Rhinolophus ferrumequinum: one gene and its partners. The protein of the gene in region 1 interacts with the protein of each later gene in a pairwise test. Links are inferred from orthologs where the notes say so. Each region holds a gene or a part of one and is shown in the gene's direction. Other genes may lie near its edges. The genes, in order: SORBS3, VARS2, CPNE2 and TBC1 domain family member 22B.

Region 1 (8,424 bases):
TAGACATGGATGGAGTCCATCTTAGAAGAAGCTGAAGAAGCCAGAGAGGCGTTGAATGTGGAGTTGGACTCTTAAGAAAAGGAAGTGTCAGGCCAGCCTCTTGATTTCCTCTGAAAAGTAGAAAAATCGTGAGGTGCCATGGATGCACAAGGAAAAATAACTTCCACTGGGCAAGTGCCCAGGGCCCTTGGAGCGGCAAATGTGTCAGTGAGGGAATTCCATCGGTTATGGCAGCAGAGGTAGAAAGTCTAAATCCAGGGCCTGAGTAAGGCAGTTTGACTCTGAGGGCAGTGACATCAAGGGCCAATTTATAGGCTGGAAAGCGAGTCCAGATTTCTAATTTCAAATAAGCTGAGTGTACATTTTAGGACCTTTCCCAATAAATAGCGTCCCAACTTAACTGTGTCCTTACACCTCAGTTAAACCTTCAGTAAAATGAGGTAATATTTACTCTTTATTTCCAGCGTTGTGGAAAGACAGTTTTGTTTTAAGCCTGGAAATTAGGAACTCAAGTGCCAATTCACATTTACCTCTCACTCCACCTACATTTAATCCCCACTTTCTTGGCTGCTATATGTCATTGCGTGGTCTTTTTGTTTTTGTATCATGACTTGTAGGCTTTAGAAAGAAAGTCTGTTTCATTTGGCTGCAGTGGATTAATAACTGAGTGGTACATGAGGTAGCGGTGTCTTTCATGTTGCTGCGATCAGCAGGCTCATCATAGAATTCAAGGAGGTGGGAAGACAAGGTTATTCTTTGTTCGGAGGCCAGAGCACGACCTCGCGGTGTCCACTGGCCCACGACTCCCCGCTCTCGTTGTCCTCGGCTCAGTTATCTGCACTAGGGAAGAAGGGTGATGCAGACCTAGTTTTCCAGCTCCTGGTCTGTGTGCCTTTCGTGGCTGAGTTAACTTGGCCGAGTTTTCCCTCTGAGGTCATCGCTTATTTATCCTTGCCTTATAAAAATCTGCTTTCTAAAGAGCTGACAAGCACTTGCTCTCTCTTTCTTTCCTGAGAACTAAAAGAGGTCCATCCAGCTCAGTTCTTCTCAAAGACACCCCAGCTGCGCCTTGTGCTAGTTTGCTCATCTCTACAGGGAGGGAGAGAGCCAGCGAAGAGTGGCTGTGACGTTAGTGAAAAGGCTTCCTTGAAGGTAGACTAGATACTTGGACAAAAGGCCACGTTCTCTCACACCTTTGGGATTTCCATGTGATTGACGCTGAGAGGCCCGACCCCATAGATCCTAGTTACGTCACGTGTATGTGTGGAAACGTTTGTGAGAGGCAGGCCCGCAAGCCGCATTCTCTCTTCCCACGGGGATCCGCTCCCTCAGCCTGGCTGCCCGGCCCCTACTCCACCTGGACTGGGTATTTTTTCATCACAGAGATCCCTTACTTTTACAGTGACTATACCGAAAATCTTGGTTTCCAGATGTCCCAGGTCATGCTGTTGTCAGCTTAGGAGGGTCTTCTAAGTCTCCTAGTGGATCTTTTGTGTTCCTCTTCTGTTGCTTCTGTCCCCATGAGGTTTTGGCATAGACGGCCATCAGAAGAATTTGGCATTAGCAGGAGCTCGAATCAAGAGAAAACCCCAGGAGGATGAAACCCAGGGGATGAAACATGGTCCAGATTTGTACTATTGTTTCACTTGCTCTCTGTCGGCTCACTGTGGTCTTTCTCTCTAGAGAAGTCTCAACTCCTCTAAAGGGACAGTGCTTTCTTTGCTAATCCATTCTGCTCCGCTCACTCAGTTCCCCTGGCAGGAAGAGAACAATCTCTGGGAGCACAAATAAAAACCTGCTCAAAGCCTACCTATAGCGTATACAGAGTCTATCCCTGTGCAGGAGGAGAGAAGGAATAGCATATGCCCCTCCTTTGTCTAGTGTGGGGGCGCTGAGGCACAGAGCCAGGGTACCCCTTGGCTGCTCAAGGTAGATCTGAGAGTGACATTGGAATGTGAGGCTCCCCACGACAGATAAAGACACTCCCCAAGACGGGAGAGTTCAGCTGTATGTCTTCTGGGATCCCTTGCTTCCTTTTTCCCACTTGAGAAATAAAACTGAATTCTCTGTTCACCCTGCTCACAATATAAAGCTACTTAAGTGCTATTTCCATTCACCATTCCTCTGGGGGACAGAGGTTGGTTTTCAGAGTGACCTGCATTCCTGTAGGAACAGCCACCCTCTCCTCCCCGTCCTGGGGAAGAGCCACATCTATTGGTAGTCTCTTGGCTAATCCCGCCTTAGGGTGGTGGTTGTGGACAGACCTCTCTGTTGACGTGGGTGCCTTGGGGTGTAGTCCTCACATCAAAAGGAGGTGGGGGTGGGGCGTACTGCCGACCAGGATCAGATAACCAGGAAAATAGAGCAGTTATGTAACTGTGTTTACTATGGCTCAGGTGGCTCTGAGAAGGCAGAGGTGGCCCCTGGCAAAAGGCAGTGCCAGAGATGGGGAAGTCACAGGGAGGGAGGGCCCTGTTAGAAGATAAGGGAGTCAGGAAGATAGGGCATCGGGATGAAAGGAGTCTGCTCTGTTGTTAACAACAACACTCACCTAGGACCTCCTTCCCTAGCCACAGGCTCTCCCTGACCACACCAGCCAGCGGTCTGGGCCAGCAGCAAGTAGAGCTGAGGCTGGAGGAAGGAGTTGAGAAATCAGACACCTGGTTCTTGGCTAAATCTCTGGATTTTGCTACGTTTCCCCTTTAATCTCCCACTTTTCAAAGAGGAGGGACTCTGCTCCCTAACTATGGGCAGAAAGGGAGATGTCCGTCAAGGGGCCTTATGCTCTCTGCTCCCACCTCTATACAATCTCTCATCCTCTATACTATCAGGCTGGGGGGACACCAAGGGAACATGGTGGAGGGACCCTGTTATAGCCTCTCCTCAGGCCAAGCCCATAGCCTAAGACTCTGGGAAGGAGAACGAGTCCCACCGGTGCCAGGGCAAAGCAGGCTCTGAGCTGAGAGGTGACGAGCCCAGCAGAGCTCAGACCTCAGTAGACAGGCAGAGGTTCAAAACAGCTCTGGAGAAAAGCTCAGGTCTCCAGTGGGGCCTACTGTGGCTCCTGCAAAGCTGTTTGCTGGATTCCCTATTCCCATAGAGATGACACTGGTAACCAGTCCCCCGCTCCTTGCCCATGGTTGCCACTTTCCTTTGAGAAACAGGAAGTAGGGACCTTGGTCAGCTCAGCTGCACCCTCTACATTAAATATTTATCTTGGAGTCCAGGTCAGAGCCCTAGAGAATAAGAGAAGCTTGCTGCTGGCGAGAGTGGGCATGACCAGAATTCCTGGAGTTGGAAGAACTTCAGCGTCACCATCTTTGGAGAACAAGGAAGAACACGAACGCGATGTGTCCCTTCTTAGTCGTGAGGACTGTGACAGGTGGGGAACAAAACTGGTGACAAGGGTAATGGGCACATCTTTTGTCTCTGTGGCAGGGAAGAGGATGGTGACAAGGGGTGGGGAAGTAAGTGCCCAAGCTTTGGAGGAAGGAAAATGCCCTGCCACCAGCCCTCCGTGCTGCAGCTACCGTCCCTTCCCCATCCCTACAGTGTTCTGGGAGAATCACAGATTCCTGGAAGGGGCCTTAGAGGGGATCTCATTGAGCTCCCTGCTCAGTACACTAAGTGCCTTTACAAAGATGCCCCACAACGGCCAGACTCAGAACCCCGTAATCATTTAAAAGCTCTTCCTTGGAAACCTCCCATCTGCTTCCACGTGTGCACCCAATGGTCCCACTTGTGGTAGCTCAGCCGGCCTGTTTCCACATGCAGCCCTGCAGACAGTGGAGGCCAGCCAGCATCCTCTCTCTCTCTCCAGCTTCTCTTCAGCCAAACGTCCGTCCCCTCTTTGTGCTGTTCACTGGTGATATTATTTCACGCTGGTTCACCACAACCCAGGTCGCCCTTTTCACTGAATTGAGAAAAGATAAAGCTAATAGCATCAGTGATGGTAGGGAGTTTTTTTCTCCATTCCCTTCCTTCTCAACTTTTCAGTTGAATAATGTACTTGGAAAACACTCTAAAGTGCATGGTGGCCTCAGGGCACCAATCTTACACCCAGTACCTATGCAATAAATGTTTTCAGATGTTCGTAATTTATAAGTGAACACTCCCAGAATAGATCTGGTATTGCCTAATACCTCTTTGCTATTGGTTTGTTTGGGGGCTTGGCGTTCCCCAACCGAGCCAGGGACTAAAAGTACTCCCCTCCCGAGTCTTTCCATCAGCAGGGAACATTCATTGAGCACCCTCACTTCCTATCACAGGCTCTGTGCGTACACAGAGGCCTGGGGGTGAGAGGGAAGGGATGGGTGGCCAGAGGGGTCGGTAGCCAATGGGCGCGGGCTCCTGGGACCGGTGTCAGAGCAGCGGGAACAGCGGAAAAGCAGCGAGATCAAAACAAATGCGGTGTGTGGGAACACCAAGACCCCGTCACCCCATCCCCGCCAAAGGGAGCCGCCCTCATCCTCTTCAGGGGCGCGCCACGCCCGGGGGACCGCTCCATTCGGCCGGTTTCCTCCCGGGGCTGTCCTCCGCGGGGCTTGCACGTGTGTGAGCATCGCCCGGTTTGGCAGCGCCCGCGCGCGCGTGTGTGTGTTTGCACACGCCCGGACGCGCGCTTACGCAGGCCCCAAATCTCTCTCCCAAGTGCGGGGGGAGGTGGCGGGCCCCTCCCTTGGTCCGCTAGGCCCCTCCGCTTTTGGGGCGCCCTATCTCGGCACCAGCCCGTCTGCAGAGCGGCCCGTCTCCGGGCTGCCGGCTCCGTATCAGTGGCTGGCTGGACCCGGCTCTTTAATCCTTCGTGCCCTCGGTCCTGGCTCCGCCGTGCAGCGGCTCCCTTCCCACCCGCTGGAAATGTCGCTGGAAACTCTGAGTGGCGTTCCCCGCCCCCCGCGCCCGCCCCGACGCCAGCCGGGCGGTGGGGGCCGGGGAGGCAGCTGGGAAACCAGAGCGTGCTCCCCAGGGACCTTGGCGGCCCCTCCCGGCGCCTCCGCGCGGCCGGCCCGGCCCCCTCGGCCGGGGCCACAGCGTCCTCGCGGCGCGCCCCGACGGAGGCCACTCGCTCGCTGGGGCTGCGGACCCGAGCCCCCGCCCCGCAGGCCCCTTCGCCCCCGCCCCCCCAGCCCCCGGCTCACAGTCCAGATTGGAGGCAGGCTGACCGCCGCCCGCCCGCCTCTCTAGTCCTTCCTCCCTGCGCGCGCTCGGCCCCGTCCATCCCTCTTCCTCCTCGGGCGCCCGGCCTCGCGGAGACCGTCCTGACCCGGTCACGAGGGTGGACGGCACAGCCCGGACCGCTCCCTGCCCTCCCTCCCCGAGGGCCCGCCGCGGCCTCACCAGGCAGGAGCCCGGCCGAGATGCTCCTGCCCTCCCGGGCGTCCTCAGTCCCCTCCACCTGCTTGCCGTGGAAGGTAGGTGTCTGGAGAAGAGGGGGCGGAGAGGAGGCGGGGGCGCAGTCAGGGAGGCACCTGCCTGAAGGGAAGGCACAGAGCCCGCCCCCTGGGGTCCTCGCCCCAAACTCGGGGGTGGAAAGAGGTGAGAAGTCTCCCTCAAAACAAAAAAGTGAAATTGGAGAAAACCTGTCCTGTCCACGTGGACTCATAGCTGGAAAATACCCGAGAAGACACCTAGGGCTGAGCCCCCAAAGCCAGGGCAGTACTTGCAGGTGGGAAGGAGTCCCTGACCACAGCAGAGCCACTTTACCTCTTCCAGCCTTTTAGAGTTGGCTGCTGGGGTGAAGGACAGCCAGAGTGAATTCTGGGAGGACCCCCGAGATTTCCTGGCACCCTCTGCCCTCTGCCAGGTGCAGGACCAATTTCCTCTGGCGGGGCTGCAGGGAGAAAAATGTAGCCCGCCCTTCCCCACCACCCTCTTGCATGTCTCTTGGGGGTGTGCCACAAGGAGCAGCTTGGGGAGGGCCAGACTGGGCCCCCAAGGATCAGCCACCCCCAAAACTCAAGTGGTGTAAGGGAACCTCCTGCCCTCTCCTTACTGCTAGTGGGCTGTTCTCACTGAGCACAGCAGGGTGGGACAGATAGAGGCAGGGAAGGAGTCTGGGTCAGCTGACGGGTAGAAAAGACTGGTGCTGACCTCGAAACTTGGCCTTAAGCAGTCAGCTGGGCAGGGAGGGGCGTGGTGCTAGGAACCAGCCTGCTCCCGGCCTAGACCCTCTGGCCTCCCACTCTCCTCTGCCTCGGTTTCCCCTGCAAGGGGAGAGAGAGCCTCAGGAACTGGGGTGTGTCTGCATGTTTTGCTTTTGGTAGGAGTCCTAATTCAATCCAGCTGGTGCACTGTCCCTCCTCTAGCCTCAGCCTTCTACTCCCCCCAGAGCCAGGGGTGGGCACAGGAAAGCTGTGTCCCCAATAGGCCTTTCAAGGGTCAGAAGGAATCCCCACTCAGACCAGAGACAGGGAATTGCCATGGCCTTGTCTATACCCTCCAGCGTGCTCAGGGGCTGGGTAACCACAGCCTCTATTGTACCTGCATCCCCTCTGGTCTCTATAACTCTTGTGCTGCTTGTATGATTGCACCCTCCCCACACTGATAGCTGACACTCCTCTGGACCCACAATCCCCTTGATATTCACATGCCCCCACACCGTGGTACCCCCTCAAGTCCCATTCACGGCACTGCCCTTACATTCCAACACACACACATGGCACTTCACAAGGCCCTTGCTGCATTCCCGTGAGCCCCCAGACCCCACAGGCACACACAAGCCTAAGGAAACAAAAATGCCAGAATTGGTAGAGCCCCAGAAGGCGGCGAAGGTTGACTCTGCTTCTGGCTCAGTGCAACGGCAGAGGAGAGGAGCAACCAGCTTCTTACCACCGCTCTCTGGGAGGCAAAGCCCTGGTTGGCAGCCCCACTGCCTCCATCTCCTGGCTGCCTGACTTGCATGGGGCAAAAGAACCCAGCTGATCAGTCAGATTTGCTGCTTTCAGGAAGACCCTCTGTTGAAAAAACAGCCTGGAGGTGTAGGAAAAAGTGGGGTGTGTGTGTGTGTCAGCACCACCCCTCCACACACGAATCCATTGCTCTTAACCACTGCTTCGCTCTCTGCCCCCACCCCTCACTGGCACCTTGAGCCCTCTGAGGCATCAGTTTGAGCCAAAGAGGCCCAAAAAGGGAGCTGATACTCCTCTGAGCTCAGAAGGAGTGGTTCCTGCTGCCTGGAAACGCCCCCACGCTCTCCCTCTCCCTGGATCCTTGGACCTTCTGGGCAGCGGGTGGGCAGCCGTGCTGTTGCCCAGGGCCTCTTGCTGGGCCTGAGGAACCCCTGTGCCTGCTGGTGACGGGATGTTCACACAGGGACGGGCAGGAGGCAGAGGGAAGTGAAACAAAGTCCCGAGTGCCCAGGCCTCCTCTGCCAGCTGCCCCAGTTCCCTCTGCCTTCCCTATGGGGGAGCGGGCTGACTGTGCAGTGAGAGCCCCAGAGGGGCTGGCCAGCAGGCCCGCCTGAGGCTTTGTCCAGCAGGTCTGCTCCTGGCCAGCCTCCCCTCCTCCTCGCCCGGTCTCCCCTCCCCCACTCCCACCCGGAGCTCCTGCCCAGGGCCTAACAAGCAGCCCATTGTACCTCTGGGAGCCGGCACTGGCAGCCTGCAGGCGGGTGCCCGCAGTGGCCTGTTTCCTGGGTCCTGGAGCTCCCACTCAGCTGGCCCTGACCCTCTCCCACAGTTGTCCCCTCCTCCACCACCCTGAGGGTACAGGCAACCCAGGCCCAGCCAGGCTTTCCCTTCCTCCCTGTTTCCCCACAGAGGACCTGCAGAGGAGCTGGCACACCCGGAGTCCTCCGACCTTGACCCAAGCATGCAGGCCCCACCCTGCAGCCTCCCAGCTGGGCTCAGCCTGGATGACTTCATCCCTGGCCACCTCCGAGCCCACGTAGGGTCATCCTCCCGGGGGACACGGGTGAGTGAACAAGAGAGAGGGTGACTGTGGGCCCCTAGTTGGTGGGGACCTTGCAGGACAGGTGTGGAGCACAAAGATGAAAGGACGGGAGGGCGGGAAGGGGTTGGAAGATAGCTCTCGCTGGCTTCCTGCAAAAGGGTCAAGCTGGCTCCAAAGCCCTCAGCATGGGGTATGACTGTGCCCTGGCAGCCATCCCTCCCTCCCTACTGCAGAACCTTCTGGGCCTGAGCTGCTGCTCCTGGCCCCTCCCCACAGGTGCCGGTGATCCGGAATGGTGGCTCCAACACCCTTAATTTCCAGTTCCATGACCCCGCTCCCAGGACCGTGTGCAATGGGTACTTCTCACCAAGGAGAGATGCATCCCGGCACCCAGGTGGGTCTGCTCAGGAAAACCTGCTCCAGGTGGGGGTGGGAGATTAGAGCTCCCCGGGCCCTGCCATCTGGCACCACCCTGTGTTGGGCATGCGGGGGTAGGGGGCCTCTGAGCTCAGCTAACTGCCCCTTCCTGTGTGA
Region 2 (7,388 bases), on another chromosome or scaffold:
CCCAGTGCAGCTGTCAGCCAGGACTTGGCTCAGCTCCTCAGCCAGGCTGGGCTCATGAAGAGGTGAGGAAGCCCGAGGCACAACAGCTCCCGGCTTTGCCATCTCCTTGGGTCGCTGCCAAACTGAGTGTCCAGGCGGGTCAGGATTGGAGGGCGTTGAAGAAGGACAGCTGAGTGGAGTACAGCGAGAGATAAACCAAGAGCAGACGTGAGCGGTCGGTGGGGCTGGTGGCCATTCTGTGCACACCTGTCCCATTGTCCCTCTCCACGTGTCTAGTACCGAGCCCGGAGAGCCTCCCTGCATTACCTCTGCTGGCTTCCAGTTCCTGCTGCTGGACACCCCTGCCCAGCTCTGGTACTTTATGTTGCAGTATCTACAGACAGCCCAGGTGAGGAGTGCAGCGTCTGCTTGTGGGTGTGCTCTGCTCTTCTCAGGACACACCGAGAGATTACTGCCTACAGACTGCTCCCTGATTTTCTCCCTCCCATCCCGTCCCCTTGTCTGTGCCCATTCCTCCCTAGAGTCGGGGCATGGACCTAGTGGAGATCCTCTCCTTCCTCTTCCAGCTCAGCTTCTCTACTCTAGGCAAGGTAAGCAGGGGCTGGAGCTGGGGGGTCGGGTGGGTGGGCCGAAGGGGAGCGAGATGGGGAGGGCAATGGGGCTATGGGGCAATAGAGTGAAGTAAGAAGGAACAGCCAGAGGTGGGAAGACGGAACGAGCTTGTGGTTTGGGAGAGGGACATGGGATGTGTTTGGACCCCAGCTGCTACCTCTCTTCCCCAGGATTATTCTGTGGAAGGGATGAGTGATTCTTTGTTGAACTTCCTGCAACATCTTCGTGAGTTTGGGCTTGTTTTCCAGAGGAAGGTATGAGCACCCAAATACATGGCTTCTAGGGAAGAGGCAGGGTGGTATGGGCCTTGGCCTTTAGAAAGGTGTGGGGTTTCAGGAGGCAGCGGGAAGCGGTTGCCAGGACTGAATACCTGGGTCCCTTGGGGGAGAGAAGTGGGGAGTTGAGGTTCTGCACTGGGAGGGATCTGATGTCTTAGGAAGGATGATGTCGGGCGGTGACACTTGAGAGGGAGCCCTCTGCCTTTCTCTCCTATCCTTTCAGAGGAAATCTCGGCGTTACTACCCCACCCGCCTGGCCATCAATCTCTCGTCAGGTGTTTCTGGGGCTGGGGGCACTGCGCATCAGCCAGGCTTCATTGTCGTGGAAACCAATTACCGACTGTATGCCTACACGGGTGAGGCAGCAGAGGGCCCCTGGGAGAGCAGGTTGGGGGTGGGTTGTGAGAACAGGTTGCGAGCAGGTTATGGAAGGCTAGCACCAGGGGAAGGGAGCGGGAGGGAATGCCAGTTTTTGTTCAGATTACTGGGTACTTTATCTTTTCTGACATGTCTCATCACACTTGAAGGAAGGGATCCAGGGAGTCTGGGTATGGGGTCAGCCCCCTCGTCTCCTCTTCCTGTCCCTGGGCATGGGGTCAGTCTCCTCGTCCCCTCTTCCTGTCCCTGGGCATGGGGTCAGCCCCCTCGTCCCCTCTTCCTGTCCCTGGGCCTGGGGTCAGCCCCCTCGTCCCCTCTTCCTGTCCCTGGGCCTGGGTCAGCCCCCTCGTCCCCTCTTCCTGTCCCTGGGCCTGGGGTCAGCCCCCTCGTCCCCTCTTCCTGTCCCTGGGCCTGGGGTCAGCCCCCTCGTCCCCTCTTCCTGTCCCTGGGCCTGGGGTCAGCCCCCTCGTCCCCTCTTCCTGTCCCTGGGCCTGGGGTCAGCCCCCTCGTCCCCTCTTCCTGTCCCTGGGCCTGGGGTCAGCCTCCTCGTCCCCTCTTCCTGTCCCTGGGCCTGGGGTCAGCCCCCTCGTCCCCTCTTCCTGTCCCTGGGCCTGGGTCAGCCCCCTCGTCCCCTCTTCCTGTCCCTGGGCCTGGGGTCAGCCCCCTCGTCCCCTCTTCCTGTCCCTGGGCCTGGGGTCAGCCCCCTCGTCCCCTCTTCCTGTCCCTGGGCCTGGGTCAGCCCCCTCGTCCCCTCTTCCTGTCCCTGGGCCTGGGTCAGTCCCCTCGTCCCCTCTTCCTGTCCCTGGGCCTGGGTCAGCCCCCTCGTCCCCTCTTCCTGTCCCTGGGCCTGGGTCAGCCCCCTCGTCCCCTCTTCCTGTCCCTGGGCCTGGGTCAGCCCCCTCGTCCCCTCTTCCTGTCCCTGGGCCTGGGTCAGCCCCCTCGTCCCCTCTTCCTGTCCCTGGGCATGGGGTCAGCCCCCTCGTCCCCTCTTCCTGTCCCTGGGCATGGGGTCAGCCCCCTCGTCCCCTCTTCCTGTCCCTGGGCATGGGGTCAGCCCCCTCGTCCCCTCTTCCTGTCCCTGGGCCAGAGTCAGAGTTGCAGATCGCCCTCATCGCCCTCTTCTCGGAGATGCTCTATCGCTTCCCCAACATGGTGGTGGCGCAGGTGACCCGGGAGAGTGTGCAGCAGGCCATCGCCAGTGGCATTACAGCCCAGCAGGTATTCTCACTGGGGAAGGGGGTGGCAGGAAGGCAGGCTGCACTGGGCTGTGGGGCACAGGGGTCAGCGTATGGAAGGCTAGCACCAGGTCTGACATTAAGGTGTGGGGAGATGGCTGAGCAGACAAGGCACAGGAGGTGTCAAGGTGTGGGAACAGGCAGACGCGAGGGGGGAAGAACATGGAGGGAGGAGGTGTAGCTCTGGATTTGTGTCTTGGCACCGCCACTTCCTAGATGCATAAAGAGCCTACTTGCTTCATTTCTCTCAGCTGTAGTTTCTTCAGCTGGAAAAGGGAAACAATGAATTTTCATCTCACCGGGTTGTTGGGAGGATTCAGTGTGAGAATAGCAGTAAAACATTTAGCTCAGAGCCTGCCACACAATAAGTGCTGCTATTTTAAAGAGAAACAAAAGAGACTACGCAAAGGGCAGATGTGCCAGAGAAGGAATAGCAGACATGACCAGTGGGAACAGTAACTTGGGACAACAGCTGAGTAAGGAATGGGCTGACAATAGTCATGTACCTATGAGTTTTTAAACAGTAAGTGGATGCTCCCGTGATATCGGGTGACGGCCAAAGTGGCTTTCCTGCCCTCTTATTCGAGTCTTTGATTGCATTCTTGTCTGTTTTCTAGATCATCCATTTCCTAAGGACAAGGGCCCACCCAGTGATGCTTAAACAGGTACAAACAGGTACCAAGCTGTGGGAGGCTGACAGCCCCTGGCACCTGGTGATGAAGTGATGGAAAAGAGAAAGGAACAACCAAATCTGGGGAATGCGTGGAGGGCTGCGGTTGTTCGTGCAGTCTTCCAGGATCTTACAGCCATGCCTTGCCCCTGCAGACACCTGTGCTGCCGCCCACTATCACGGACCAGATCCGGCTGTGGGAGCTGGAAAGGGACAGACTCCGCTTCACTGAGGGTGAGTGGCTTCTGATGGTCGGTTGTTGGTCGTTGGCCAGAGGAAGGACAATTCAGTCGTGATCATTTTATTTACTTTTTGTTTGCTGTATGAGCTGGGAGAGCAAAGCTGGCAAGATACTTTTTATTTTGGGGTGAGTCGGTGGTAGTAAATAAAATGTCTCAAATCACTGCAATTTGGATTTAGCAAGAAGAGGGAAATTGGGAGGGATAATTCACAGTAATTTCTCTAGGTTTGGTGAGCAGTGGGTTTTCTTACTGTATTTTATTGCCTTCCTGAATATGGTTGGATCACACTAGTGTTCAGATGAGCCCTGGAAGAGACAAGCATAGAGGATTCGTTTTTAAATGGTGGTGGGTGACAAGGCCAGCCCACTGCCCTGAGGCTGCCACAGAAAGGCTCAGCGCCTCACGTTCTGGCCTTCTCTCTCCCCACCTCTCCCTTCCTGCGGACCCCAGGTGTCCTGTATAACCAGTTCCTGTCGCAAGTGGACTTTGAGCTGCTGTTGGCCCATGCGCGGGAGCTGGGCGTGCTGGTGTTCGAGAACTCGGCCAAGCGGCTCATGGTGGTGACGCCTGCTGGGCACAGTGATGTCAAGCGTTTCTGGAAGCGACAGAAGCACAGCTCCTGAGAGCGCGGACTAGGACCGGGCGGGGCGGGAGGCGGGCGCGGCTCCGGAACTTAGGGTTTTTTAACTCACACCTGGGGACTCTAATTGTTTAATAAAGTTGTGAAAATGAGCCTCGCAGCCCCGGACGCCTCCCCACCGAGCTGCAGCTTCCCGCTGCCGACGCGCTGGCACGGGAAGGGGGTAGGGCCGAGCAGCCCTCGCGCATGCGCCGGGCCGGGGCCCTGCCTCCCGGCGCCGCGCGGTCGGGTTCCGGGGTCGGTTGCTGGAGTCCCATCCGGTGCTGCAGCCGCTGCCGCCGCCGCTGGGCGCCCTGGGGTAGCGGAGGGCTCGCCCGGTGAGCGCGCGCCAGGGCGGCCTCCGGGGTGCGGGGTGGGAGGCGCTGGCGAGCCTGGGCCCCCACGGTGGGACGCGTGGGAAGGCCGGGCCGCGCGGGTCTGGGGGCAGCGCGGGCGGCGTCTGGGCAGGCCGAGATCGCGGTGACTGGCGGGACTCTTGCCGGCTCTCGGGTGCGCTGTCGGTCACCTCCCCAATACCGAGTCCTTTACACTCCTGTGTGCCGGCGGTCACTCCCACGTCGCACATTCATAGGTTGAGGGCCAGAAATTAAGTCTTCCCCAGAAGAGCCCTGTTTCTTGCGGCTCCAGGATCCTGTTACTGTGGACACCACGCACTCTAGTCCACATGGAGGAAAGGTTGTGTGGGAAGAGCTAGATACTTAAAATAACAGACCAGATCTAGTAGGCGGCAGAGAGTAAGGAATAGGGTGTGACTTCAGGGGATGTGACCCTCCCACGCCCCCGTATCCTAAAGTGCTTTGTCTGTCGGGAACAGATCTTGGCCCCGTTCCAAGCACTCCTGATGCCTCATTTGCCTCCGGCCTCCTTCCGACACTCACTCTGGGGGCTGAGGTCCTCACGGGGCCTCCCCAAGTCCCATCCACTCTCTACACAGTCAGAGCCCCATGGTTCCCCCATCTCCCGGAGGAACCGCGAAGCCAAACAGAAGCGCCTGCGGGAGAAGCAGGAGGCGCTGGAGGATGGATTAGCCTGGAAGAGCAAGGTTAGAGCACAACTTGCCCTTGGGTCTGAGAAACTTGGTGGGGGGATGGAGAAGGGCTGGAGGAGAGACTGGCTGGATCCCAGATGCCTGGGGTATACTGGGAACTGCATTCCTCCTTGTGTCTCCTCCCCGTAGTCACCTGCAGAATCCAGTAAGGCCTGGACTCCTAAAGAAATAGTGTTGTATGAAATCCCCACGGAACTTGGTGAAAAGAAAGGTAACTAGGAAACTTGAAGGCCTTTTCGCTCACATTTTCGTTTCCCATTTGGTCTGCTGAAATGCAGTCGGGGAACAAAGTTGAATTAGTGGAGCTCTGCTCTGCCTCCACAGATGTCTCCGGGCCACTGCCTCCTGCATACAGCCCCCAGTATGTTGAGGCTGCCTGGTACCCTTGGTGGGTACGAGAGGGCTTCTTTAAACCGGAATATCAGGTTAGTGCCTGGCAGGGAGGGGTACTGAACAGTCCCCAGGACAGATTGGCCCATGAGATTGGTGGGTGCAACTGAGCCTGAGTCTGGAGCTCACAGCCACATTGGAGAGCTTGTCTCCTGCCCCTGGGCTCTCCAGAACATTCTCTTGGCAGGTTTCCCTTTCCCTGTTATTTGCTGGACAGTTCTGCCCTGCAGAACTGCTGTGGGGACACCAGAGGGTACTATTCCTCCAGGTAACATCCAGTCTTCTCTTGCCCTTTGACTGTGCTCCTTCCTTCTAGACCAGGCTGCCCCAGGCCACAGGGGAGACCTTTTCCATGTGTATCCCCCCTCCTAACGTCACTGGCTCCCTGCATATCGGGCACGCACTGACCGTGGCCATCCAGGATGCTCTCGTGCGCTGGTGAGGGGATGCGGCTGCCTGGGTTCTTGAGGGGAAGGAGGGAGGGTAAACATGTAAGGTCGGATTCGTGTGAGGGCATTTCTGTCACAGGCACCGGATGCGTGGAGATCAGGTGCTGTGGGTCCCGGGCTCAGATCATGCAGGAATTGCTACCCAAGTATGTCTTTTGCCACTTGTCCTTTTCTTGGGTGAGTTTTCTTCCTCCAAAGCGACCTGATTCTTTGTTTATTTGCCCCCTAATCTTACTGTAGGCTGTGGTGGAGAAACAACTGTGGAAGGAACGAGGAGTGAGGAGACATGATCTGAGCCGGGAAGATTTCCTCAGGGAGGTGTGGAAGTGGAAGGAGGAGTGAGTATGACGGACATATGAAGGGGCTGAGATCGCAGGTTTGGGTCCTTGTTTCCTAGTCACGCTTCTAACTCGTAGTCACTCTTCCCATCCAGCCCTAATTTCTCTAACTTCCAGAGACTTAAGCTCTGGAGCCTCTTAGCATTTGGTGGGGTCGCCAAGCTGTGTGTGTGTGTATGTGATACATGAGGATGTGTGTCTATATATGTGTGTATGTGCAGACACACACACACACACACACACACACTTCCCTCCCACCCCCACTTATCACTTATCTCATTTTCCCATTCTCTCTAACTCACCCCTTCCCACCTTCCATCTACTTGAAATTACCCTCATTTAGGTGTGTTACTACATGCCATCTTCTCTGTACAGTTTCTGTAGATTTCCCATGAATCGGCTGCCCCTTCCTCTGTTACTGTGAACTTTATGCTTTTGTTTTTTAAGTGTGTTTTTCCAGGACCCATCAGGTCCAAGTCAAATAGTTGTTTTCAATGTAACTGTGGAGGGTGCAGCTCATAGTAGCTGGCCACCCCCTTTATACTTCTTTTAGTCATAGAAGGTTCCATACTGGGTTCATGAGTCTGTCTCCATTGGCTTCTGGAGGCTAGATCAGTGCCATACTCACTCCAGCCCCAGCATTGCTGGGGTGTCACTGGCCTGGTACATTGTTGGTGCACGACACGTTTGCTGACAAAAGTCTCTCGGCACAGGAAAGGTGGAGAGATCTGTGAGCAGCTGCGAGCCCTAGGGGCCTCCCTGGACTGGGACCGAGAGCGTTTCACTATGGATGCTGTGAGAGTTCCACGGCTGGTTCTGTGGGTGTTGGGGAGGTGTTAGAGATCTGTGCAGGGAGGCGGGTTGCTGTGTGTGCTGGGGTGGCAGGATGGGAGTGCCCGGGTCCCCAGGGGGGTGAGGGGCTGAGAAGGGACTGTTGGATGTGGACACACAGGCCATTCTAGGGCTCCGCAGTGGCTGTGACCGAAGCATTCGTGCGACTCCACAAGGCAGGGTTATTGTACCGGGGCCGGCAGCTCGTCAACTGGTCATGTGCTTTAAGATCCGCCATCTCGGATATTGAGGTGAGGCAGAGAAAGACAAGCCGGTT
Region 3 (7,644 bases), on another chromosome or scaffold:
TGTGTTTTACCTTGAGATGAGAAGTCTTAGGACCTACTCTCTTATCAACTGTCAAATTTTGAGACTCATAATCCCACAGTTGTAGCCCCAGTTTCCTCATCTGTACAGTGAGGGGATGAGCAAAATTAGGCAAGGCACAAGGACCTACTTTCTCCAGCTACAGAGACGACCTTATGGTTCATGTCCACTCCCTCAGGGAGGGTTGTGACTCCGCTGTCGCCTGCCTTGCATGGTTATAGTTTTGGAGCTCCACCATCCATGACCTCCTCTAGACCCACAGCCACAATCCCAGTAACAATCGTCCCCCATTTCACAAATGAGAAAACTGCAGCCCAGTGAGGAACAAGACTTGCCCAAGGTCACACAGTGAGTATTTAGTGGAGCTCAGATTCCGACCCTGGAGCAAGAAGGGAAGGAGGATGTTGGGGTGGTCCCAGCTGGGGATTTAACTCAGTGGATCTATGCATTCCTCAGAGAGTAGAGCCCTGGGAAAGATGAAAGGGCTGTGTGCCCTTCCAGGCCCTGCTTCTGCCCCAGCCCTACCCCTGCATGGCCACAGCCAGGCCTGAGGGTGGTGGCCCCAGCTGGAGCTGGACACGCCCTTCGGACACAGCTGGAGCTCCCTGGAAAAGACCTTACGTTGGCTGGTTTGGGTTGGGCTGGTGATCTTCCGGGGACAGCTGGTCTTCCTCCCACCCAGCCAGACACCTCATGAAGCACCCCATGTGTCTCTCAGGCCCCAGAGCTGGTGTCGTCCTTCACCTTTGGCCTTTGGAAGCCACACTTTTTTGTTCATCCCACACAAGCCACTGTCCTGCCTGGCTGCCCAGAAATCAACCTTTGCCCTGAGGAGAAGGCGACAAAAGAGGCTTCCCTAGAGAACAAAGGCCAACTGGGGTCCCCGGTTGAGTCACCTAGGTTAGAAGTGTCCATCTCCTGGGCCAGGGCCTTCGTCCTCACCCTCCCGCACCAATCTCCAGTACAAGGTTGGGGCTGATGCAGGGGTTGAGGGTGGGGCCTGGGCATCCTGACCCTGGAAGGGGGCATCCTTCTGTTGGAGTAAGTGAAACCTTAGAACTTAAAAATGGCAATAACAACACACTAGCCCTGGTGTCTAGCCATGCCTGGTGCCATGCTAGCCACATTCGGGTCTCACTGAATTCGCACAATCATCCATGAAGCAGGTATGAAATCTATCCTTCCATCTTACAGAGGAGGAAACTGAGGCCCAGAGGAATGAGTGATTTCACCCAGGCAGTAATTGGAGTGGCTAGGAGTCAAACGGGGCCCAGACTCTATGTCTGAGGTTTGATACTAGAGTCAGCCACACCCACCTCTAACAGTGAAGTCCTGAAGGGGATATCTCCATATCAACCCCCCCTGGCAGATGGTGTTTTCCAAAATGGCCACCACAGTATCTCCCATCCCACCTGCTCTTTCTACAATGTGACAGTTAACACTCTTCTCACAGAGAGGCGGGGTCTCTGGAGTGGAGACTACAGCAGAAGTGACATTATGTGACTTGCAAAGTGAGGTCCTTTAAAATATAATGCTTCCACCTCATGCCCTGGGATGCTCACTCTGGGAACCCAGCTGCCATGCTACATGGATGCCCAGGCCACATGGAACGGTCATGGGTAGGTGTTCCAGCTGAGGTCCCAGCTGACAGCCGGCACCGATTCCAGACGTATGTGTGAGAAAGTCTTCTAGATAACTCCAGCCTCTGTCAGGGTCTGATGCAACTGTTTGAGAAATCCTGAGCAAGAACTGCCCTAGCTGAGCCCAGCTGGCCCCCAGAACTATGAGAAATAATAGGTTTGGGGTGATGTGTGTTCTATAACTGGATCACCCAGGGCCTGGTACACAGAAGGTGCTCCTTCAAGTGTCTTAAATTTACAAGCACACTGAAGTGTATAGGCAGCCCTGGTTATTCTGATCTGTTTGTCCAGACAGCCTGGACTGTGCAAATAAACCCCCAGATGGCAGGCGCTTCTCTCTCTCTCTCTCTCTCTCTCTCTCTCTCTCTCTCTCTCTCTCTCTTATATAGGCCTATTTAGGGAAATGCAGGCCTCCCGCTTGTGCAGAGAGGTCTCTCCCAGGGTGAGGAAAGACATTTTGCAGTAGCAGCCTTACGTCTTGTGTGGGTTGAGGACAGAGTGTAGAATCAACTGATGGAACCCTTGACCTTATCGACTGTGACCTCTGGGCTCTCCTGATCCCTGACTCTGTTTTAGGACAGTTTTATTGAGGTGTAATTCACATACTATAACGTTCTCCCCTTTAAAGTATACAAGTCAGTGGTTTTGAGAATATCTACAGTTTTGTACAACCATCACTACAATAATTGTAGAATATTTTTAATCACCCCCCTCTCCAAAGAAACCCCGTACCGACGGCAATCACTCCCCATTCTCTCCTCCAGCTCCAAGCAACCACTAATCTGCTTTCGATCTCTATGGATTTGGCTAGTCGGGACATTTTACATAAATGGAATCACACAATACATGGTCTTTTGTGACTGGCTTCTTTCACTTAGCGTGATGTCTTAAAAGTTCATCTATATTGTATGGACAGCAGACCTTTCTATGGCTGAATAATATGCCATTGTATGGATAGACTACATTTTGTTTATCCATTCATTTATTGAGGAACATTCGGGTTGTTTTCACTTTTGGGCTATCCTGAATCATGCTGCAATGAACATTCCTGCACAAGTTTTTGTGTGGACACGTTTCTATTTCCCTTGGGTAGATACCTATGAGTGAACCCTGGCCTTTGTATTCTGTCCCCTTGGCCAGCGATCTTATTCCCCTGGGCAGGTCCAAATACCTCATCCTCAGGTCTCCTAGAAGAAGCCTCACTGACCACACTGGCTGAGTTGGTCTTGGTGCCACCCTGCCTCCAACCTTTGCATTTTTTATCCTGTAATATCATTGCCTGTGTCATGGTCTTGCCCCAGGGGGAGGTGAGCAAGTTGAGGGGAGGGACTCCTGCTCTGGAGCAAATTGAGGAGAGGGATTCTGCACCCCCCAACACACACACACACACACACACACACACACACACACACATCAATCAAGCACCACTTCCTGAAGGAAGTGGGGCTGCAGCTGGGTCTAAAAAAAACGCCATAGATTGATTGGCTTGCCCCACAGCCAGGCTGCGGACTTTGAGGGCTTTGGGTGGAAGAAAGATACAGAGTTTGGAGAAAGGAAGGACGGATGGTAGACACTAGGGCAGAGAACAAAGCTCAGAGCCCTGGGGTTTTTTGGTGGCCACCCCTCTAAGGCTGCAAAATGCCTGTGACTCAGATGTGGAGGGAGGTTGCCGGCTGCAGTGTGAATCTCCCAGTTAACCCTCACCTGCCTGAAATGGAAGTCCCACAACCCAAGCGCTGAGCCTTAACTCTCAGAGTCCCCCAGGGCCAAAGGCTGTGGATATGGCCTTGAGATCTTCCGGACAACTCCGTCCCCCACAATCTGGTTAAATGAGGCTAGGTTGTCTGAAGCACTGAATTTGCTGGGGGAGGGGGCACATAAATACCTTTGAGTGGCCTGCAGTAAGAGCGCCCAGCGATAGACGCATTTCTTAACAATTGGTTCCTCTCCTAGGGAAAGACCTTTGCAAAAGGAGGAGTTTCAGCTCCAAGGCCTTACGGACGCATCTACTTGCCCTCTCGCTGACTAGCCCCAAGCACTGTTCAAATTGTCTTTATCTTATCGTCTTTGTCAGTGAAATATGTGTAATTTTCCCAGCCGCTGGTGACAAGAAAATACCGAGCTCTTGCACTATCGGTAAAAAAAAAAGAGAGCGAGAGAGAACACTGCCGTCCTGGTGTTGCCCAGTACGGCCCAGAACCAAGCCCTGTAGAGCATCCCCGAGGGCGCAGCGCTGAGCCGGTCACCCCTTGGAGTCGAGGCCGCGGGCGGCGTCCTGGGGCCCCAGAGGCCCTGGCGGAGCCTACCCCACGGTTCCCGCGTCGGTGGCCCTGAGCGCACCGTGCTAGGAACTCGGAGGTGCCTGCGGCTCCGGCGAAGCCAGCCTGGGGAGGGTGCGAACCAGCGGCGTTCCGATCGGAGGAGTCCCAGCCTGGCACCATCGGACTCTTGGAATCTGGCCTCGAACGTTCGGACCCTAGGACTTAGGTCTCGAACATTCGGGCGCCCCAGGCGCTGAAAGCCGGGAGTGCCAGGGCGCGCCAGCCGCGGGCTAGGAGCCGCGGGCAGCGGGCGGGACAGCGCCCCCGCCCCGCCCGTTAGGAGCGCTCGCCCCTCCAGGAAGCGCGGCCTTGCCTCCTCACTTCCCTCCCCACACCCGCGCCCCCCCTCGGCCGGGGGGAGGAGCCCGAGCCGCCGCCACCGCCCGCCGCCTGGCCCGGGAGGAGGACCGGACCCTGAGCGGCTGGGAGCGCACGCGAGCTGGCCATGGCCGCGCGGGCAGCGCCCTGAGCCCGTCCCGCGCCCGCGGGCCCGGCCGAGCAGGGGAGAGCCCGGGAATGCCCCGGCGGCCCGGAGCGCGGGTAGCGGCAGCCACGCCGTGAGGGCGGCGGCACCCCCGGGACCCGCGGTGAGTGGGGCCCGGGCAGGCCGGGGCGGGAGAGGTGCCCTGGCGCGAATGCTCAAGTTCGGCCTTGGGGTTCGGCTTCTGCGGGGGTGGAAGAAAGCTGGGTTCCGCCTCGGGGGACTGTGGCACCCCAAGCCCCCGCCACCCGCGCACACCCAGACTCCGGCGTTTGGGTGACTCAGCTCGGACCCCGCCACTCGGGGGCGCTCGGGCTTCACCCGGACTGCGGAGGGTAGGTAGCGGGCAGGGTGCGGGAGGTAGGTAGCGCCCTCGGGAATCTGAATCCAGCTGTTTTAGGAACCTTCCTACCTTCCTGAGGAGCCTGCGGGCGTCCGGAAGGTGGAGTCCCCGCCACGATCGCAGCTGCTGAAGACTTGAGGTCGGGCTGGCTCCTGACAGGCGTGGGCCCCTCTCCTTGTCCCCATACCCAGCTCCACCCCCAAACCCACCCCCAACCCCCACCTCAGGGAACTGCCCCGGAAGCGGGGACGGAGAGAGGGAGTGGAGCTGGGCAGCTTCCCAGAAGTCAGAGTGTGTTTGCAAACTAGTTTTTTTCACCAAAGCTGCCTGGCACGGCACCTGTGTGTTTGGGGGTGGGGGGCATTTAGAGAGAGAGGAAAAGGCTCTTTCTTCCTGCCCCCCCTTCCTTCGCAGCGCTGCTTCTCTGAAAATGTAGGGGTCTTACTCTCCCCTTCTCTTCCCATACCGTCCTCCAGACTCCCTTCCCCACCTCCCAGTTCCACAAGCCCTCCTTTGGGGAAGGAACTCCTTCAAAGGGGGCTGTGATTTGCCCAGGGTCACCAGTGGTAGTGGAACCCGGGGCTCTGGTAGCCAGTTGGGGGTTCATCTTGCTGCCTGTGACCCCCCAGCCCTGTTATGTGCTGGGGGAGTGACAAGGGCAAGAGATCCGGGAGAATCATCTGAGCGGCCCTTTGTTTTGTCTGCACTTAGTTTTTCCTCACCTCGGGGTGTCGGCTGTTACCAAGGGGGGGGGGCTTTTTCTGTTTGTTGGGGCACCCACAGCTTCAGTAATTGGGGGGAGGAGCCTAGTTGTAACCTTGGGCCTGCAGCCTGTATGTGGCCCACCCCATAGGGAGCTTTGGGAGACCTTGGTCTGAACACCCAGCCAGCAGTGCCGGGCCCTGCCTTCCCCACTGATACCCTGCCTCTGAGCTGTGGTCCTCATCTGTAAAATGGGCCTGTGCACCTGGAGGCTAGGAGCAAACAGAAAGGAGAGGTTTTATTGCAATCCCTCTGGCACCAAGCCCAGTGACCCAGTGAGTGCTGGCACTGCCCCAAGCAGGCAGGCGACATAGCTGGTTGGCATGGGAGGGGGTCACCCAGGCAAGTTTCTTCATGGAAAGAACCTGGGGCGAAGAATGTGGACACATGGGTTTTTCTGACCCTCTGCCACTTCCTGTCTGTGTGCCTGTCACCTCTTGGGCTTTGGGGTTTTTCCATCCATAAAATGAAGCAAAGTATGACACCATCCAGTTTACAGAGCTGCTGGGAGGCTGGAACCAGGGGACCCGGGGGACACGTGTTCTGCAAAGTGGGATGCACTTCATGAGCTGGAAGTAAGGTGTCTCTGGTAATGTTTCAAGAGACCTCCCTCCCAGAGACCATGAGAATGAAAAACTCAAGGACTTAAGAAGAGGGTCAGGAGAGAACCGCAGTTTCTGTGTCCTAAAGTAGTGAGAACAATACTCTATACCTCTATAATCTTTTAGGGTACTTGTGTATTTCTTTAAAGGTACGTGGTTGTGAGAATTAAATTAGCTGACAAAGGGTTCCTGTGCCAGCACTGTGACTGGTCCATGATAAGTGCTCAGTACCCACGACAAATCAGTGTCATTGTTCATGGGAAGAAGATTAGTACCCCTGATGTGGGTAACTGCATTCAGGCTTCCTGCTGGAATTTTTCTCAGGCCAGCCTGCTCTTCCCTCTCTGCCTCCTCTGTGGAGAGATGAACCTCAGAATCCAAATGTCCGACTCCTGGGCTTTTCCAGGGGCAGGGTCCTGAGCAGAGAGGAGAACCCCAGGGGGAACGGTAGCTCAGTGGGTGTTCCCATTTCCCCTCGTTAGAGCCCTCCCAGGGCTCTAAGGAGTGACAGAAAACACCAGTATTCTTTTAAGAATTCCCCCACCTTTGTCTGAGCAGGGAGAGTTGTTACCAGGTAAGGCCCCCTCCTGAGAGGGGGGGGGGGGGGGGGGCTCCCCCCATTGTCTAGTCTGCCAGATAGGGGTCTCCCACTCCCTTCCGCTCATCCTTACAGGGGCTGCTGAGTCAGGGGCAATCACTTCAGGAGTCCAGCCCCTCTGCTTTGGAGAATATGGCCTCAGAAAGGGGGTGGGATTCCCTCCCCTCCTGCCCAGCCCCCTGCAGGACATCGTGGGCTCCTTGAGAGCTGGGAGGCTGGGTCACTAGGATCTTGGCAGGCAGCTGCGGCAGAAGACAACAATCTTATCCCACCCGCACTGTCCAAAAGGCAATACGGGATCCTGAGGGGAGGCTTCCTGAGGCCGCACCATTCCTGAGGGCTAAGCCAGGGTCCGAGGCGCCTCCTGGCTCCCAGCCCAGTGTCTCCTCCCCTCACTGGGCCACCCAGCCTCTACTCCGTCAAGTGCACTGTGCTGTTCATCCCTGGAGCATGTTTGCACTAGGCCTGTCCATACTTCTTCCTCCAGGGTCTGAGATGACACGAGCCACTAATTCCTCACTCACTAGCAAATCCCCTTACTTAATTTTTCTCGAGACATTACAGCTCTACAGCCATTTATTCCTTGACCTGTCAGCTGATTATCTGTCCTCCTCCCCAAAGAGTGTCAGCTCCATGAGCCAGTGAGGACAGTGTCCCTCGTGTTCACGACTCTTGCCCTGCACTTAGATAGGCGCAAGTAAATGTCAGGTCGATGACTGAATCGCCCCTCATTGTTGCCTCCTGTCAAATGGGTCTGTGAGGTTGGGTGATGGAGTCATGAGCTTGCCCTTTGGGGTCTTTGGAGGGAACCCTGTCTCCCCATGCCGAGTGCTGGAAGGCCATCAGAGGGCAGTGGACTCGCTAATGGAGGAGGGCTAA
Region 4 (7,888 bases), on another chromosome or scaffold:
AGTTGCTTTCATGTGACAACAGCAGAGTTGAGTAGTTGTAACAGACATTGTATGGCTTGCCAAGTCAAAAATATTTACAATCTGTCTCTTTATAGAAAAAGTTTGCCAGCCCCTGGTTTATTGTATGACATATATTTCATAATAATTTTAAAAATGGTAACATTAAAAAGAAATTCCAGAAATAAAAAGATGTATAATTCAACCACCTAAAAAATTTGCTTAGTTTTTTCCTGTTTTCTTGTAGTCTTTGATAAAAGCTATATATTTTTATTGAAATCAGGCAAAGACATTGCACATTCTGCTCCCCCACCCTTGTACATCAGTTCATAAGCTTTTTTGTTGTGCTATGGTAGCATTCGAATTTGCACATTTTAATGGCATGGCATGGTTTAGGTTTACAAACCATACAGCATAACTTGTGTAACACCCTCCTCATGTTTACACCTTTATGTTCTTTTCATTCTCCCTTATTTTTATTGCTTACAAAGCAGGGAACATCTTTGCACGCAGAGCTTCGCCCCCCGTGACTTATTTTCTTAAAGTAAATTCTTAGGAAAGAAATTCACAATCTTCCCTCCCCCCAACTCTAACAACTCTCTCCTTCCTCTCTCAACTCTAATAACCGTTTGCTTCTTCAGTCTTTATGCTTATCCCTTTGCCTTCTATCACACAAGCGATCCATCTCATTTGGCTCTTTCTAGTGGTTGCTTAGGTACCAAAAAAGCTCTCTTGCTCTTACATCCCAGCTTGGCCTTACCACCCCTATGGTGGTCCAACATTCGACAGTGCATTGTGAGGGCTGCTTCTTGCTCTAACTTCTTAACCCTTCCTCTCATGACAGGGTCCACTCCACTCCCTGGCTGAGGTTAAAGTCTGCCCGTGTTCTGTTGGTAATGAAGTCCAAAGGCTTTTTTTTCTCAATTTCTATGTTCCCCATGGAAATACTGCTCTGGAATTTCCTCTCTATTGTTCTTCCTCTCCTCTCTCCTCTCCCCTCTCCTCCCCTCTCTTCCCCTCCCCTCTCCTCTCTCTTCTCCTCTCTCTCTTACATGTCTCAGGGTTATCTCTTCCATAGAACCTTCTCTAAGGATTGGGATATACCCACCTTTTTTGAGTCCACATTCAACCCATGCATAGCTCATTCCCTTAACTCTACTTGGCCCTAATCTACGTTGTTTTACTCTCCTTTGAATGACTATCAAGTTAAGGAATGAAAAGTAAAAACTTGCAGGCAGACCACATTGAGAGCCTTCTACTTAAAGTTTCAAGATAATCAAACCTTGAGATAAATTCAAGGATCGCAGGCCACACTGTCCTGGTAACAGAAGATCTACAAGGTGAGGCCCTCAGATTAGCAGCTTCAGTGTCACCTGGGAGCTGGTGAGAAACGCATCACCGTAGGCCCCACCTCAGACCTACTGAATCAGCATCTAGGCTTTTCACATGATCTCCAGGTGGTTCACATGTACATTAAAGCATGAGAAGCACTGGTCTAGTGGACCAGCGAGTGTCTGCCACTATAGCCTCCATCAAAAGTGCCCTAAGGATCCCTTGGGAACCTCAAAATAATGATATATACCTGTAATGGGGCAAAATTTGGTGTAAGGGTAATTAATCTGGCTGCCACAGTTACCTCCCCTTTGATGGACAGGGTTGATGCAGCTGATCTCTTGGACAGATGGGCAGCTTCCTTCCCGTATCATTCTAGGTATCAGTTCATTCCTTTGAAGCTGCAAAAGGGTTTGAAGAGGACAACCTTTCCCAAGAAAGGAAGACTGTTCTTCAACCAAGAGTACAGGCAAACATACGGAATCTTTGGTAAAGTGGAAGCATCCTAATGAGGTTTAGAAAATGTTTTCTATCATCTTTTCCAACAAAAAATGTGTACGAACAACATAGAACCAAAAGACAACAATAGTTTAGAGTCTTTAATCTCTCAGTTAACCACCTACCACGTGCCAAGCACTCTTCTAGATGCTGGGGTTATAGCACAGAACAAAACAGACAAAATCCCTGCCTTAGTGAAGTGTACATTCTGGAGGATGGAGATGGACAACAAAATAAGTAAGTAACATAGTAGGCAGTGATAGTACTTTAAAGAAAACTAGAGTGATGGAGCCTGCTAAATAAATCTTAAATAAGATGATGGTCAGGGAAGGCCTCCCTAAATTGAAGACATGTGGGAATGTACCTGAATGAAATGAAGGAGCAAGTCATCTAGATACTTGGGAAAAGTGAATTCCAAACAGAGGAAATTGCTAATGCAAAGGCCTTGAGATAGGAACATGCTTGGATTGTTCAAGGAACATCAAAAACGCCAATAAGTGTGGTTGGAGCAGATTAAGCAAGGAAGAGAGTGGGACCAAATCATGCAAGGTCTTTAAGGAGCTTAGGTGTTATGTCAAGTGTGATGGAGCCATTTCAAGATATTGAGCAGAGGAGTGATGTCTGACTGACATTTTAAAAGGCTCTCTCCGGCTGCTGTGGAGGGAATACACTCTAAGAGGGCAGGAGTAGAAGCGGGAGGCTTAATAGGAGGCTGCTGTAAGGATGTTGGTTGGTTTAGATTTGGGTGGTCATGGTGGTGGTGGTGGTGAGAAACGTCCCAACCATCTCAACTTCCCTGATAAAGACTATTTAATAAGTTATCACCAGACAACTGGAGTGAATTTTTAAAGTCTTGGATGGGAAACTGGCTTAGATGTAGAAAAGCAAGAATAGGGATAACAGGGCTCCTTTGGGTAGAACGGTGTTAACAGTATCCCCTGGAATCAGGGTTATTTAACATTTAATAAACAATGAAGAAAAAAGGAACACTTTGAGACATTTCTAAGTACACAAACTATACTCTGCTTGCCACATGTGAAATAGCAAGTTAATAGGGAGCTCTTCTGGAACATTTCTGAAGCTCTGTGAATAGGCTGGAAAGAGACAGGTGACTTGCCACATGGACAAGGGTAGGACAGCTCCTATAGGGAGAAATAACTCTGATGATACCTTTAAGATAATGACTTTGAATTGCCAGTATCCACTGAAGAAAGGATCTAGAAGTCACTGTAGATCATTTCTTCAAGACATCAGCTTTTATAAAGTCCAAAATGGCAGCAAAAGTTCTGGCTGTCCAGAATAAAGACAAAACATCAGCTTCAGCAAAACCTCAGGAAACCCCTCTTGGAGCTCAGTGTGCAGTGCTGGTCACTGTATCCTAAGGAAAAAAAAAAGAAAAACAGCCAAAGAAAGGCAGCTAAAATGTTTAAAAGATGAGAATAAACAGATAAGAGGTGCTTTTGTTTGATGGATTAAATGCTCATAAAGGTGAGACAAGATAAGATGAAAATCTATAAAAGCACAAAAGGTCCAGAGAAAGTAAAAACAGCTCTTTTCACAATCCCATGATTGTGAAATTAGGGGGCAAAAGAAGCTTCAAAATGGGGGTAATATCTATGTAGAAAGAGGCCACTGGAAGGCATATAAAAAATGTCCTTTAGACAAGGAATCCTTTAAGTATTCTCCAATATGTGAAAAGACATGTGGTAGCAGTAAACAAGCCACCTCAACAGTCCTTTGTTGGGATGGAAACTATTCTGACTGGTGTGTGCTTTCTGCCCACGCCCCTCATCACTGGTGTACAGCCACAGAAACTGAAAAAGAGCAAAAAACACTGACGAGACATTCAAAGGATTCAAAATGCTAATATTAAATCTCATTCTGGATTTAAAACTAGATTGAAAATAAAGTCAAGGGTGAAAAACTGATAATAGATTAATAAGAGAAATTAAGTCTGTTTGGGTTTATATCCTTACTCTTTGTGATTCACGTCATGGAGATATATTCATGCGTCCTCGCAAGAAACATTACTTGGTCTGAATTGGATGAATACTTTGTCAGCATCTGGGTTCTGGTCAGAAAGTGACAGTTATTAGATGAAACAGGGATTCAGGGGTGTCCAAACTGCGGCCCACGGGCCAAGTGTGGCCCAGGATCCATTGTTAATTGGCCCGCAACAAATTCCAAAAATATATTTAGTTTACTTAAATAAACCAGGTGAGGCAATACGTACTTCACCTCGAGTGAGTGGCCCGGCTGTGTGTGTATTTTACTGCATATGGCCCTTGGTGAAAACCGTTGAAAAAAGTTTGGACACCCCTGGATTAGATCATTTGAACTTCACCCACAGCACAGGTCCTTCAATAGTGTTCAATGAACAGAGGAGAAGAAGATTCTCATGAACCAACCGTTACTCACGTGTTGAACAGTCAGCAACCATACGCTATCCAACCGTATTGATCTTCCTTCACAGATTAAAATATATATATATATATCGGGGTCCGAACCGAAAGGGAAACGGAGGGTAATAACCAGTGTCACTGAGCTGGGTGGGAGATTTTAAAATGGGCTGCAAATAACACATGGGACCTCATTTTTAGGTCAAGATTTACGTATATAAATAAATACATATGCTTTCTCTTCCCCAAAAATATTAGACTCCAGAACCTCATTCCCTCCAAAGAAAACTGTACCCTTTCCTCTTCCCATAGGTCCTTCACCTGCTTCTTCCAGGTTAAGGAACCTTCAGTCCCGCCTCCCTGCGGGTCCGAGCTCCGCCTTCCCGGTCCACCTGTGCGCCCAGCCCCTGACGTCACCGTTCGGCTTCAGCGGCTTGCAGGATTCCGGCTCCTGATTGGTTCGTCCGACCACGGCCTGGCAGTCCACCAATGGCAGCGGCGCTGGGTGGGGAGGTGCCCATATCCAAGATGGCGGTCCCAGCACCTAGGAGCGGGTGACCGGCAGCGGGGGAAGTGGCCTGGGTTGGCCCTCCGATTGTGGGGTCCTGGGGGCATCTCGCCGAGTACCCCCTGGCCCGCCTACAAGGCCTTCCCCGGGCCAGAGCAATGGCTGCCGAGAACAGCAAGCAGTTTTGGAAGAGGAGCGCCAAGCTGCCGGGGAGGTGAGCCCAGGAGCTGAGAGGAGGAAGAGGGGATTGGACCAAACCCTTCCGGATCCGAAGCCCTAAATCTCGCGGGCCTGGAGCTCCGCCGACCCCGGCGGGCTGGTTTGGGCAACGTGGGCTGGGGGAGCTGGGGCTGCCTGGTGGCGGCAGGGAAGCTGTCAGGATGAGGCGCAGGCAGCAGGGTTTGGGGACGGCTGGTTGTGGGAGCAGCCCCGGGTCTGGGGGTGGAGGGCTCTGGAGGGGCTGCCCTCAGCCAGACGGTGGCCGGAGTCCGGGCGTAAAAGACCCTGGAGTGGGATGAGTAGCCTGTGTCCGTCCTGGATTAGGAGGGTCAGCCCTGGAACTGCTTCTCACGTTAAAGAGAACTCTCTCTTGGGGGGGGGGTTGTCTCCCCCACACACAGGTGGTTGTTTGGACAAGGATGGCCCCTTCCCCTGCTCCTCCAGCTCTGCACGTAGGAACCTTTTTCCTGGATTCCAGCAAGGTTCTGCTGGGAGCTTGGGACCCTCTGCAGGGGGACAGGAGAAATGAGGAAAAGTCTCAGGCCTGACCTTACTTCATCTTCAGTTGGCCTTTTCCCATTAGGAATTATTACAGGGTGACCCAAGAATTGAGGTTATTTCTTTAATCTTTTCTAAGGATTTATTCAACCCCAAGTAACCCTTTACCCTCCTGCGTTGTATCGTTCTACTAAATTTTTTCGTTGTTCAGTTGATGGGTTGGAGAGCAGACCTTCTAAGCTACTTTTTTTTTCCTTTTTGATGTATGTTGAGACCCTTAACAATTGTACATCCTTCCATCTGCTGTTGGTTTACAGTTTCAATTTGTTTTGGGCAGAGTCCTGAGATGTATAAGGAGGAGTGAAGGTTCCGTCGTGAATTTAAGATTTCTGACAGCCATAGTCTGCTTGGTGATGAAATTCATGTGGGTTCCCCCACGTGCTACCTTTCCTCATTGATTGGGGTCTTTTCTTTCTGGGATAATCCTTTGAACTTGTGACCTTTTTTTTTTTTTTTTCCAATAGCAAGAGAGAAAGGGTCAATGGTGGCTATATAGCAGACTTATTTTATTTAGGATCCTATCAGACATATGGAGAATGGTGGGACTCAGCTACTAGTGACACAGTATTAAAATAATGCAAGGGAATGCAGAGATAGCTTCAGATGAAAGTGCTGTGGAATTACAGTGTTAATGTCAGTGCTAATGACTTCTATGTTTTTAGATAAGCACCACTTCCTGCCAACTGATTCCTTTTCCTTCCTGGTCTAGTGAGCTCTCCAGTCTCACTAACTGTTGTTCTCTGGGGTTTTCCATAGTGAGATCATTAAATGTTGACATCCTAAGGTTATAATCAGAATCAATGGGAGAACTGTTAAATCAGGAAGCAATAGATGAGATGTGGGACATGGCACGGTCTTTTGTGCCTGCTGAGTGCTAGTTGTTATTAACAATCTTTCGTTTTGTGTGTTTCCTATTTTGGACTATAGGAGCAGTCACCTTTTTTCAAGGCACTATTTTTGCAAGATAGAAAGAGGAGTCTTTTCAGTTTTCTCAAGTTTCTGGCTTCCTTTTTCATTTTGAAGAGGAATATAGAGGGATAGAGGAGAGATCATTTCAGTTCAGAAAGACTTGGGTTATTATTTGGACCCTTTTACCTGTGTGATTAAGGACAAATGGTTTGCTCAATTTCTCGAGGCTTCAATTTCCTGATCTATGAAATGAGGATAAAAATACTTTCCTCAGGGTTACTGTGAGGACTTAATTTAACATCCTATTTGTAAAGAACCAAGGACAGTATTTATTTAGTACATTATGGTTGCTCATTATATACTAGTAATTAGTATATTCTTACTAATTATTCTTACTACTATTATTCTTAATACTACTATTATTCTTACTACTAATTATTCTTAATACTACTATTATTCTTAAAGCAAATAAATAAACCTTTACTCAGATCCTTACCCTGGTGCTGGGTATTTATGTTCATTGTTTATCTTGAGACATCAAAGTGTTGCCATGATTGACAGTAGTTTTTATACCTTGCTTGTTGAGAGGAAGTATTGTTTAGTTATGTGTTTTTAGCAGGGAAGCCTCCAGGATCCCCTGGTTATGGGGACAACTAGTTTTAGATCGTAAGTGCTTTGATTTAAGGAAAACGTTAGGGCATTTTCTCAAGAATATAATTTTTGCACTTGTACTCTTTCTGTTTTAGTGAAGAAACACTTTCTCCTGGGTGGGGAAAGACATAGACAACTGTGTTTAGGCCCCTTGCAACCTAAAAGTGACACTAGTTTACTTTTCTTTGCGAACTGAAAGGTAAAAATTCAAAGCAATCTCAGGTTACTTTCAGTTGCTTTGATCGTTATCCAGCAACCTTAATGACAAACAAATAGGAATTTTACTTAGTAAAATAGCCTAAGTTCACAATGAATTAAACAGTTTTTTTAAAAAACAACCGCTTTATTGAGATGTAATTCACATACCATAAAAATTCACCCACTATTCAGTGGTGTTTAGTGTATGCATCTAGAGTATGATGTTTTGTACAACCATCTCCACTAATTTCAGTACATTTTTGTCACCCCAAAAAGAAACCTCATATCCATTGGTAGTCACCCTTCATCCCTCCCCACCATCCTCAGCCCCTGGAAACCACTAATCTTCCTGTTTCTATGGATTTACCTTCTGGACATTTCTTATAAATGGAGTACTGTGATATGAGGCCTTTTCTGGATTCTTTTATTAAACATGATGTTTTCAAGGCTCATTCGTATCACTATTTTATTCCTTATTATGGCTAAATAATATATGGTTGTACCTCATTTTGTTTATCCATTCGTTAGTTGATGGACATTTACATTGTTTCCACTTTTTGGCTATTATGAATACTGCTATGAAATTCATGTGAAGGTTTTTGTGTGGATGTATGTTTTC

The links.
Region 2: the proteins of SORBS3 (region 1) and VARS2 interact in binary tests that used the Homo sapiens proteins (3 or more experiments, as listed by UniProt). The two-hybrid records come from large-scale screens. The link is inferred for Rhinolophus ferrumequinum from reciprocal best matches to the Homo sapiens genes SORBS3 and VARS2.
Region 3: the proteins of SORBS3 (region 1) and CPNE2 interact in binary tests that used the Homo sapiens proteins (3 or more experiments, as listed by UniProt). The two-hybrid records come from large-scale screens. The link is inferred for Rhinolophus ferrumequinum from reciprocal best matches to the Homo sapiens genes SORBS3 and CPNE2.
Region 4: the proteins of SORBS3 (region 1) and TBC1 domain family member 22B interact in binary tests that used the Homo sapiens proteins (3 or more experiments, as listed by UniProt). The link is inferred for Rhinolophus ferrumequinum from reciprocal best matches to the Homo sapiens genes SORBS3 and TBC1D22B.

Annotation. Positions count from the first base shown.
Region 1 is NC_046301.1:43,963,060-43,971,483, reverse strand, and holds the start of SORBS3 (vinexin), read left to right. Parts: upstream 1-5,117; 5' UTR 5,118-5,411; intron 5,412-7,757; 5' UTR 7,758-7,809; coding exon 7,810-7,911; intron 7,912-8,166; coding exon 8,167-8,284; intron 8,285-8,424. UniProt on the Homo sapiens protein: Vinexin alpha isoform promotes up-regulation of actin stress fiber formation. Vinexin beta isoform plays a role in cell spreading and enhances the activation of JNK/SAPK in response to EGF stimulation by using its third SH3 domain.
Region 2 is NC_046286.1:1,473,997-1,481,384, forward strand, and holds the start of VARS2 (valine--tRNA ligase, mitochondrial), read left to right. Parts: upstream 1-4,249; 5' UTR 4,250-4,372; intron 4,373-4,475; exon of another isoform or gene 4,476-4,869; 5' UTR 4,870-4,896; coding exon 4,897-5,097; intron 5,098-5,232; coding exon 5,233-5,314; intron 5,315-5,427; coding exon 5,428-5,528; intron 5,529-5,809; coding exon 5,810-5,931; intron 5,932-6,021; coding exon 6,022-6,088; intron 6,089-6,182; coding exon 6,183-6,280; intron 6,281-6,993; coding exon 6,994-7,075; intron 7,076-7,242; coding exon 7,243-7,362; intron 7,363-7,388. Other genes in the region: GTF2H4 (general transcription factor IIH subunit 4), read left to right, coding at 1-62, 277-388, 522-590, 783-866, 1,114-1,246, 2,356-2,486, 3,121-3,168, 3,329-3,407 and 1 more. UniProt on the Homo sapiens protein: Catalyzes the attachment of valine to tRNA(Val) in a two-step reaction: valine is first activated by ATP to form Val-AMP and then transferred to the acceptor end of tRNA(Val).
Region 3 is NC_046298.1:9,807,362-9,815,005, forward strand, and holds the start of CPNE2 (copine-2), read left to right. Parts: upstream 1-4,365; 5' UTR 4,366-4,566; intron 4,567-7,644.
Region 4 is NC_046286.1:7,330,914-7,338,801, forward strand, and holds the start of TBC1 domain family member 22B, read left to right. Parts: upstream 1-4,784; 5' UTR 4,785-4,892; coding exon 4,893-4,948; intron 4,949-7,888. UniProt on the Homo sapiens protein: May act as a GTPase-activating protein for Rab family protein(s).